Saccharomyces cerevisiae S288C: one gene and its partner. The protein of the gene in region 2 purifies or fractionates together with the protein of the main gene of each other region. This does not show direct contact. Each region holds a gene or a part of one and is shown on either strand. Other genes may lie near its edges. The genes, in order: VSB1 and MAM3.

What was found.
Region 1: the proteins of MAM3 (region 2) and VSB1 purify together in Saccharomyces cerevisiae (affinity purification with mass spectrometry, with the first as the bait; one large-scale study listed by BioGRID). This does not show direct contact.

The regions. Positions count from the first base shown.
Region 1 is NC_001139.9:740,360-746,091, reverse strand, and holds VSB1 (Vsb1p), read right to left. Parts: upstream 3,768-5,732; coding exon 657-3,767; downstream 1-656. Other genes in the region: YGR126W (uncharacterized protein), read right to left, coding at 1-257; ASN2 (asparagine synthase (glutamine-hydrolyzing) 2), read right to left, coding at 4,430-5,732. UniProt on the Saccharomyces cerevisiae protein: Amino acid transporter involved in vacuolar uptake of basic amino acids for storage during nitrogen replete condititions. May function as an amino acid/proton antiporter.
Region 2 is NC_001147.6:213,200-217,821, forward strand, and holds MAM3 (Mam3p), read right to left. Parts: upstream 2,939-4,622; coding exon 818-2,938; downstream 1-817. Other genes in the region: ribose phosphate diphosphokinase subunit PRS5, read left to right, coding at 1-535; glycerol-3-phosphate dehydrogenase (NAD(+)) GPD2, read left to right, coding at 3,927-4,622. UniProt on the Saccharomyces cerevisiae protein: Involved in metal homeostasis and more specially in manganese sensitivity.

The DNA of each region.
Region 1 (5,732 bases), on a different chromosome or scaffold from region 2:
TTTGAAGTTGGCCTTTTTAAAGTACTAGAACTGTGATGAGAATGCACATCTGAATGACGGTGTTGATCATCTACATTACTATCATCTTCCAGTTGCCCCTTTCCAACAATGGTATCGTTTTTTAAAAGAGGCTGTTCTGGAGCTTCAGAATCTTTGAACCCAGTAAAGGGCTCCGGTTTGTAAGAGTCAATAGAAGAAAAGGACGATATGTCTTCATATTCATTATCGGTAGTGACAGTAACAGATGGGACAGGCATAGTCTACGTTGATACGTTGTTATGACTTTGATTTGTTAATGCGGATATAAACTAACCGTACAACTACCCGTTGTGAATTGTTGTGGTAGTATATTAATGAAAAAAGTAACGGTATTTTTTTTCTTTAGGAGAGCAATTAAGTCAAGTGAGGTATGTAGTTGCTCATCGATGGGAATTATCACTTTTCGTCTACGATAGGGGCCCTATCAAAGAAAATCGCGCAGTAAAATTCCGGAAGTGAAGACTCAAGTACAAAAAGTTTATAGTCGAGATGGTAAAAATCCTACAACGGCATCACTTATACAGATGCAGGAGCATCCTGCTTTTATTTAGTACTGGTGTAAATTACTTGCAATACGCCGGCAATAAAAGAAATTAAATAAATATACGTGTACGCTCTCATGCGCTAACAAGTGTGTAACCTAGTAATTCTTTGAATCTGGTGTCCTTGATACACATGACCATTAATGCAACCTCCACGTACAATGCTAGATTGTCTTCTTTCAATTTGTTCAACGAGCTAGAGTCTATAACCCATAATACGGAATCAGTTTCAGTTTCGATGGTGAGCTTTTGTTCTCTAGGCATAGCATTCCCTGGCGCAATGATTTTTCCGAAGCATGTGCCATTTGAAAAAATCTCGTACAAGGTTCCTTGTGGTAGTTCATATGTTGCCTTCAACATACCTGTTTCCACAAGGAAAAAAATGTTGTCTGCATGTAGTAAATGTGATTGACTTGCTAATCTGCGCCTGGTGAAGTAGGGGCAGAGTTGTGCCCAAAACTTGATTTCCTTTTCTCTTACTTTTTGAACTTCAGATATTATATCGGGTCGGTACTGCTTTAATGCAAATAACAATATAGGCAGGACAGGTTCATCATCTTTGTACTCCTTTTTGAAATTCTTCACTGCTTGTTCGTCGTTTACAAATACATTCTGTGCTACAGAAAGTATTTGGTAATTACGAGGAGTATTGGTTGGTAGTGACATTAAGTTTCTCGCTGTGTCTCCATTGCTTCCCCTGTTTAAACCATTTCCTATTGTATCAATTTTTTTGTTTTTAGTGGCTGCAATTACTGCGGATACGACATTATTTTGCTTTCCTTCTTCCAATCTTTCTTTCGCCTTTTTTCTTAATTGTTTATATTGAAAAAGGAATTCGTTTTCACACCATTCCAACGCACTGTTTAAATCAGCAAATAATTCCACATCGTTTAGTAATCCCACATTATTGAAGGCGTTGTAAATACGGTCCCTTTCTTTGATTGAAGATATGATTAGTTTGATTCTTTTGGTTTCCGTGAATCTTTTAATTCTATTGAAACCTTCTGCCGCAGAATAGTCAATATTGTCGGCATTAATATTTTTAAAGTCCAATATTAAATACTTTATTCTGCGTTTTGTTGCATCTTTGTTACTTATTTGCAGCAATCTTTCAATTTTCTCTTCAATAGATATGATTGTTCCGAAAAACAGAAGGTTTTGGAGCTTTAAAACATATATTTGTTCACCAATTCCATCCAAAAATTTTGTTTGAACGTAATCACGATATACTGTACTTCTTGCGACGTTCCCATTATATTCACCGTTAATGGTTTGTAATTTCGTACTATCCACCAAAAACGAAAAACATGCAATTAAAATGCCAACGATGATACCTAGGACAAAATCAAAGATACCCATCGTGAAAACAATAATGACAACAGTCAAATATTCGAATCTATTCAATTTATTCCATGTATCGACCAACGCTTCCACTAATAACTCGTAGCCTAGTAGGAAAATTAGAGAGCCCACTATACAGATTGGAATGAATGATATTATGACTGGTCCAATGATCATAATACAGATAGTCAAAGCTATTAAAAGGAACCCAGCGAATGGCGAATCAGCGCCCGCCCTAATAAACAGAACACTGTTGGTATATACCAAGTAATTTTGGACAGAACCTAATAATCCACTAAAAAAGTTGGAATAACCATGTGCAATCAATTCTCTGTCAACATCATACTTATCCATTTGTAGTGACATAGCCAACGCAGGAACATTTATAGGAACATGTAGGATACCAAAAAATGTCAATGCCATCATCGTTGGTATTTGTTGCAAAACTAGTGACCAATGAACTTTATGGACATTAAATAATCTATAATGGTCATACCATTTACTATCTGAGTTGGCAATAGGAAAAATCCATCCAGCTTGTCTCAAAGCATCCAAGGATAATGTTGGAATGATCGCAACAATAAAATGAAACAAAACTAACGTCAAGATGTAAAAACTTGGCAAAACGAGTGAGTTCTTAAAGTAGCGTTGAGTGCCGATTAAAACTACAGTCAATAGTACAGGTAATAACCATTTCGCTAATGTGTCATAATCCGTAAACAGCCCTGAAAAAAAAGGCCATGAATATTCAAATTTCGCCACCCTCGTTGTGACTTCAATTCCTGTAATTATCAAGAAATAACCAACACCTCCAATACAGCCAATCAATATGTGTCGTGGAAAAAATCCCACTATCTTTCCTAGTCGTAGTTTACCCAATGCATAGAAAACGACACCTGTGAGCATCGAACTTATCACATAACAAAATATCGTTGTCGTTATGATTTCGTCATCATTACCTGCTAATGCCTCTTTTATAGCTAATGCCATTGTATGATAAAACGGAGTAATTTCAATCATTTCACTCCCAATCCCGGAAGGAAAACTCGACCAGCCTCCGGAGTACACGGCTTGTGATATTATGGTGGAAATATAAAACATGGATATACCAGTGGGCCCTAAATGAGAAAAAACTGGCTCTGTGATTGGAAAAATGATCATACCATAAGATAAGGCATCTAAAATGTTCAAAAGCAAACCTAACACTGCTGCGGGCAGATAATGTGCAAATTTGGAAGGAAATGACGTACACATATGCCACAAGTTTCTTGGCCTAAACCTTAAATTATGGGAGGGACGAAGTGACTGATATCCGCCCGCGTAACCATCTTCTAATTCCGGTAGTGAACTATTCTGTAGTCCTCGATTTCGGTCATCGTCCACGTTAGACGATGCTGGGCTAAGTAGCAATCTGGAGTACTCATCTGAATATTCTTCATCAATATTCTCTTCTATAGTACGCATAGATTGATCATCTTTTCTATCACCATTGCCTATAATGTCCATGTAATCCTTAATTGTGGGAGAATTTTCTTCCACAGAAGAGGAGCAAAATTCATTGGATAGTTGAGCTGTCTGCCTATGCAAATTTTCTGATCCATGTATCACTTTAGGATGTTGTTTGTTCGAGATGGGAAGTTTTGAATCCGACAAATTATTGATCATAGGTGAGTTTCCACCAGTAAAAAATCCGCTCATGTATGAACGGCATAATGGAGGAGACATTGCGCTAACACTCGCTCTATGCATCTTGTTCACAGATGAGTCTTGATTTATTCCTAAAGAAACTGATATGGCCTCCGAAAGCGACGAATTACTCCGGCGTCTCCTAATAGTCCTTCCCATATTTCTAAATTAAATTTTTGAGATTTTAAACTGTCTTGCTTATAGACCGGTGGTAGCTCTGAAATGAAACGATTCTTTTTGATTGTTATCTGGTTCCTTATCAACTCTGTTACCTTATTGAAAAAATAAAGAAGGGCTGTGAGATGGAAAAAAAAAAAAAAAAAAAAGAAAAAGAATGCAAAATATTATTTAAAAAGGGATAGCTTGCCGAGATTACTTGTTGGAGCCACAATTTGAAATCACCTCAAGAAATAGAACATTAATATGATTCAACTGTGACTGTTATATATATAGTCATAGTCCCACACATTTTTTGGGATCCACTCAGGGACCGATACGTGGGAAAAAGAACCTTGATAGCGCGAACTTCCTAGGGAATTTTTCATTTTGCAGCATAAGGATAGATAGATAAATAGATAGATAGATAGATAAAGAGAAAAAAAGCGAGATAAGAAATTAACTAATCAATCGGCTGCAGTATTCCATGTGATATCTACCGAAAGGGTTTCATATCGTAATTCGAATCCTATAGATAAGTAACCTAAGGGGTCAGCAGATTGAAAACTTTTATTATATACATATATCTATATAGATTAATATCCGTTTGTATCACCGCATTTCTTGGTTCACTCGTCAATTATAAGAATACGATTGCGCTCGTATTAAGCACTGACGTGCTTTTCGTGTATTTTGGCGTATCTACCTGAAGGATCTTCGGCACAACCCCAATCGGCCTTTGGAATCCATCTCATGACAGTGTCTGCCGCAGTCTTTTGAGGAAACCAAGCATCAAACTTCAGCCTGTACCAGTAAGCTTCTTTGGTGGTTGGAATATCGTCGCCCCAATCAGCCTTTGGATTGGCAAACATGGCGTCAGAAATGGCCCTTTCAGCAGTGTCTCTTAGGCCGTCAATCCATGAGTAGCCAACACCATCGGAAAATTGTTCCTTTTGTCTCCATAAGATTTCTTCAGGTAGGTATGGCTTAACATCTGGTTCATCTGTAGTGTCGAATGCCTTTCTTAAAATGTATTTTTCGATACGTCCTTCCTTTGGCTTGATCATCTTTTCATTTGGATCAATGTTCATACATAGCTGCAAAAAGTCTTTGTCTAAGAAGGGAACACGAGCTTCTAGACCCCAAGCCATCGTGGACTTATTAGCTCTCAAACAATCTGCCAAATGCAAGTTCTTGACACGTTGCACAGATTCGGTGTGAAATTCTGCAGCAGAAGGTGCTTGTGCGAAATATAGATAGCCACCGAATATTTCGTCCGAGCCTTCACCAGAAAGAACCATTTTGACACCTTGGGCCTTAATCTTTCTAGATAGTAAGAACATTGGTGTAGAAGCTCTGATAGTGGTAACGTCGTAAGTTTCCAAATGGTAGATCACGTCGTCCAAAGCATCCAAACCTTCTTGTAATGTAAAAGTGTGTTCATGGTGGATAGAACCAATGAATTTGGCGACTTTTCTAGCCGCTTGTAAATCAGGTGCATTTGGTAGACCAATCGCAAACGAATGCAAACGAGACCAACCGGATGTGTGTAGATGGCCTTGGTCATCGATACCTGCAAGTTGCTTCTCGTCAACATTGTTGTCTTCGTTAGCATCAGCATTAGCTTTTTCCGTTTCACGAGCAGCAATCGCAGCAATCAAAGAAGAGTCCAGCCCACCGGATAGAAGAACACCGTATGGAACTTCAGCCATTAGCCTCTTTCTAACGGCCTTTTCTAAACTGTGTCTGATAGCATGGTAGTCAACTGGGGTGGATGGGATACGCTTTTCATCCAACCAGTCTGGGGTAAAGTAACGAGTAATCTTGTCCGTTTCAGAATCGTAGACATGACCAGGAGGGAACGAAATGATACTGTCACAAACGTCAGTTAGACATTTTAATTCGGAGGCAAAATAAACGGTCTCTGGAGACTGAGAAGAACGCCCCATGTATAAAGTGACAACACCG
Region 2 (4,622 bases):
AGATGCGACGTTAACCTCTGGTGGTTCGTTACCAGTATCTCCAAGGCCATTAGTTACTACTTTGGTTTCCTCCCAAAATACTACTTCTTCAGGTGCCACTGGGGTTGCGGCCCTTGAAATGAAGAAAACAACTTCAACATCTTCCACCTCGTCGCAATCTTCTAATTCGTCCAAGTTCGTTCAAACTACCATGCTTGTTGGCGATGTTAGAAACAAGGTGTGTATTATAGTCGACGACTTGGTGGATACTTCATACACTATTACAAGAGCTGCGAAATTGTTGAAGGATCAAGGATCTACCAAAGTTTATGCCTTAATAACGCACGGTGTTTTTTCCGGTGATGCGCTAGAAAGAATCGGCCAAAGTAGTATAGATAAGTTGATCATTTCTAACACGGTTCCTCAAGATAGAACACTACAGTACCTAGGTAAGGACAGAGTGGATGTTATTGATGTCTCCTGCATAATCGGTGAAGCAATTAGAAGAATCCATAACGGTGAATCCATTTCTATGTTGTTCGAGCATGGATGGTAGTGGCATTGATGTGTTCATTTTTTTATTGATAAAAATAGGGGAAAGTGTCTATATATTTTGCGTATAAAATTCTCTACATTTTTTTTTCTTTGTTTAGTATGTGTATTGAAACATTTTATTTATAGGTTAGAGAAACAAAAAAAAAAAAACTGCAATTTCTTCTTGTATGTCTGTAGAAAAAATTTTAAGCTGCTCTCCCCTGTGATTTCATGCGTCTGGGACTAATAAGAACGGTGATGATGGTTATTATGATGCATGGGCAATTCTTTTGGCATAATCTCTTCATCTTTTTATGGTCGACGAGGAGCCGTTGGCATCATAATTGGAAGTTCTTGACAAAGAGTCGGTGAAATTAGAACGATCATTGTTGTTAGCGTTTTCGTTCTTAAATTTATTCTTAATACTGGAAAATAAACTTGCATTTGAACTTGAACTTTCTCTATCGTCACTTCGATTAGAATTCTCTTGATTGATATTCTCGTTTCCATATTCACTTTTGGATTCGTCCCAATCTTTTGCGGGGCCAATGATGGTTTTTGGAACACCTTTGACTGTGATGACAGATTCCACAATACCATTCTTCGTATTTTGGTAAGAGGTTGAGATTGTAACGTTTTGATTTTCGTTGCCGTGATTCGCGCCAGAATTTGGAATTGATATACTATCAGGGCTATTTCTCGTGGTTTTAGTCGAGGTAGTAACTTGAGTTGGTTGACCCGACCGTTGAGTATGGAGAACAGCTTGGCGAGATAGCTCTGCATGATCACTTAATAGTTGTTGTTCTTCGGCGGAGAGTGATTTATCATTTGAGTGTGGTGCTGGAGAAGGCTCTTTGCTAGAATGAGGAGTGTGTGTAGTAATGATTTTCGGAACATTGGCAGGCTTTTTAATGGTAACAAAAGATTTATTTACGTTCAACGGGTTGGACGCTAGATTTGAAGGTATGATGGTGCCATGTTCCGTCACTTGTGGAGTTGGAGACAATACAGCGTTGGACCTGTCGTAACCATCATTTGACTTCTGCTTCCAAGACTTATTATTCAAATCTTGCTGTGGGTGCTCGGATGGGTGATTAGAATTGGATGGAGACAAGAGTGGAGACGATTCATCAGCTTGGTCAGCAGCTTTGTGCTCCTTGTGAGAGCTAGTGTACAAATGATGCAAATAGGAAGTAATGTGCCTTTTGCTCAAGGGCCCCGGTTGTTGTCTCATAATATGCTGATGCATGTCCACAAAGACATCAGACTCGTCCACGATTTCTTCACCGATCAATTCTTCAATGACATCCTCCAAAGTTAAAACACCAATAGCGCCATGCGAGGAGCCCGGCTCTTTACTAACGACGCACATGTGAGCTTTCCCCTCCTGGAAGTAATTCAGAATATTCAAACAAGATGTGTTCGGGGAAGTTTCTGGCAACGTGGCTAGGGGGAAGTGGGAGATTGGGAGGCAGTCATCAGGATCGTAGGAGATAAGCACCCTGACAAGTAACATGCCGATGAAGTTGTTTGGTTCATTGGGCAAAAAAATCGGGATTCTAGAAAACCCTGAGTTGAAGATTTTTTCGACAGTTTTATCGTCTAGGATGGTATCGGCACTCATTGTGAACACGTTTTCAATCGGAGTCATGATTTCCTCAACCCTCTTTGCCTTTAGATCCAAAACAGCAGAGATGATTGTAACTTCGTCTTTAGTCAACCGTTCCACCCCCATGGTCCTATGCAAGGTGACCAAAGTCTTTAAGCCGGATTTTTTGTACATCGTACCATGATCTTCACCCAGCATATAGTCCAGGAGAGTCGCGATCGGATATGCGACTGGGTACATCAGATACATCAGTACAAGAACAAAGGGGCAGAAGAATGCCCCAACTTGCAGCCCGTATTTAACACAGACACTCTGCGGAATAATTTCACCGAAGATCACAATTAGAATAGTTGACGACACTACAGCCTGCCAACCACCCCCAAGACACCTGTCCAAAACAATAGGCAATGTTTCGTTGGTTATAACATTAGAAAGCAGCAGTGTGACTAGAACCCAATGCTTCCCCCTAGATATTAGGTCAAGCACCCGCTTGGCCAGTTTCTTTTCAGAATTCGAGCCTGAAGTGCTGATTACCTTCAGGTAGACTTCATCTTGACCCATCAACCCCAGCGTCAATCCTGCAAATACACCACCCAGCAGCACTAGGATGATAGAGATAATATAGTACGTGGTAACGCTTGCCTCATCACCTACGCTATGGCCGGAATCGGCAACATCCCTAGAATTGAGTACGTGTGATCCGGATAACAACGGCAGTGAATATATCTTCGGTATCGTAAAGATGTGATATAAGATGATGTATACCCAATGAGGAGCGCCTGATCGTGACCTAGACCTTAGTGGCAAAAACGACATATCTATTATAGTGGGGAGAGTTTCGTGCAAATAACAGACGCAGCAGCAAGTAACTGTGACGATATCAACTCTTTTTTTATTATGTAATAAGCAAACAAGCACGAATGGGGAAAGCCTATGTGCAATCACCAAGGTCGTCCCTTTTTTCCCATTTGCTAATTTAGAATTTAAAGAAACCAAAAGAATGAAGAAAGAAAACAAATACTAGCCCTAACCCTGACTTCGTTTCTATGATAATACCCTGCTTTAATGAACGGTATGCCCTAGGGTATATCTCACTCTGTACGTTACAAACTCCGGTTATTTTATCGGAACATCCGAGCACCCGCGCCTTCCTCAACCCAGGCACCGCCCCCAGGTAACCGTGCGCGATGAGCTAATCCTGAGCCATCACCCACCCCACCCGTTGATGACAGCAATTCGGGAGGGCGAAAAATAAAAACTGGAGCAAGGAATTACCATCACCGTCACCATCACCATCATATCGCCTTAGCCTCTAGCCATAGCCATCATGCAAGCGTGTATCTTCTAAGATTCAGTCATCATCATTACCGAGTTTGTTTTCCTTCACATGATGAAGAAGGTTTGAGTATGCTCGAAACAATAAGACGACGATGGCTCTGCCATTGTTATATTACGCTTTTGCGGCGAGGTGCCGATGGGTTGCTGAGGGGAAGAGTGTTTAGCTTACGGACCTATTGCCATTGTTATTCCGATTAATCTATTGTTCAGCAGCTCTTCTCTACCCTGTCATTCTAGTATTTTTTTTTTTTTTTTTTGGTTTTACTTTTTTTTCTTCTTGCCTTTTTTTCTTGTTACTTTTTTTCTAGTTTTTTTTCCTTCCACTAAGCTTTTTCCTTGATTTATCCTTGGGTTCTTCTTTCTACTCCTTTAGATTTTTTTTTTATATATTAATTTTTAAGTTTATGTATTTTGGTAGATTCAATTCTCTTTCCCTTTCCTTTTCCTTCGCTCCCCTTCCTTATCAATGCTTGCTGTCAGAAGATTAACAAGATACACATTCCTTAAGCGAACGCATCCGGTGTTATATACTCGTCGTGCATATAAAATTTTGCCTTCAAGATCTACTTTCCTAAGAAGATCATTATTACAAACACAACTGCACTCAAAGATGACTGCTCATACTAATATCAAACAGCACAAACACTGTCATGAGGACCATCCTATCAGAAGATCGGACTCTGCCGTGTCAATTGTACATTTGAAACGTGCGCCCTTCAAGGTTACAGTGATTGGTTCTGGTAACTGGGGGACCACCATCGCCAAAGTCATTGCGGAAAACACAGAATTGCATTCCCATATCTTCGAGCCAGAGGTGAGAATGTGGGTTTTTGATGAAAAGATCGGCGACGAAAATCTGACGGATATCATAAATACAAGACACCAGAACGTTAAATATCTACCCAATATTGACCTGCCCCATAATCTAGTGGCCGATCCTGATCTTTTACACTCCATCAAGGGTGCTGACATCCTTGTTTTCAACATCCCTCATCAATTTTTACCAAACATAGTCAAACAATTGCAAGGCCACGTGGCCCCTCATGTAAGGGCCATCTCGTGTCTAAAAGGGTTCGAGTTGGGCTCCAAGGGTGTGCAATTGCTATCCTCCTATGTTACTGATGAGTTAGGAATCCAATGTGGCGCACTATCTGGTGCAAAC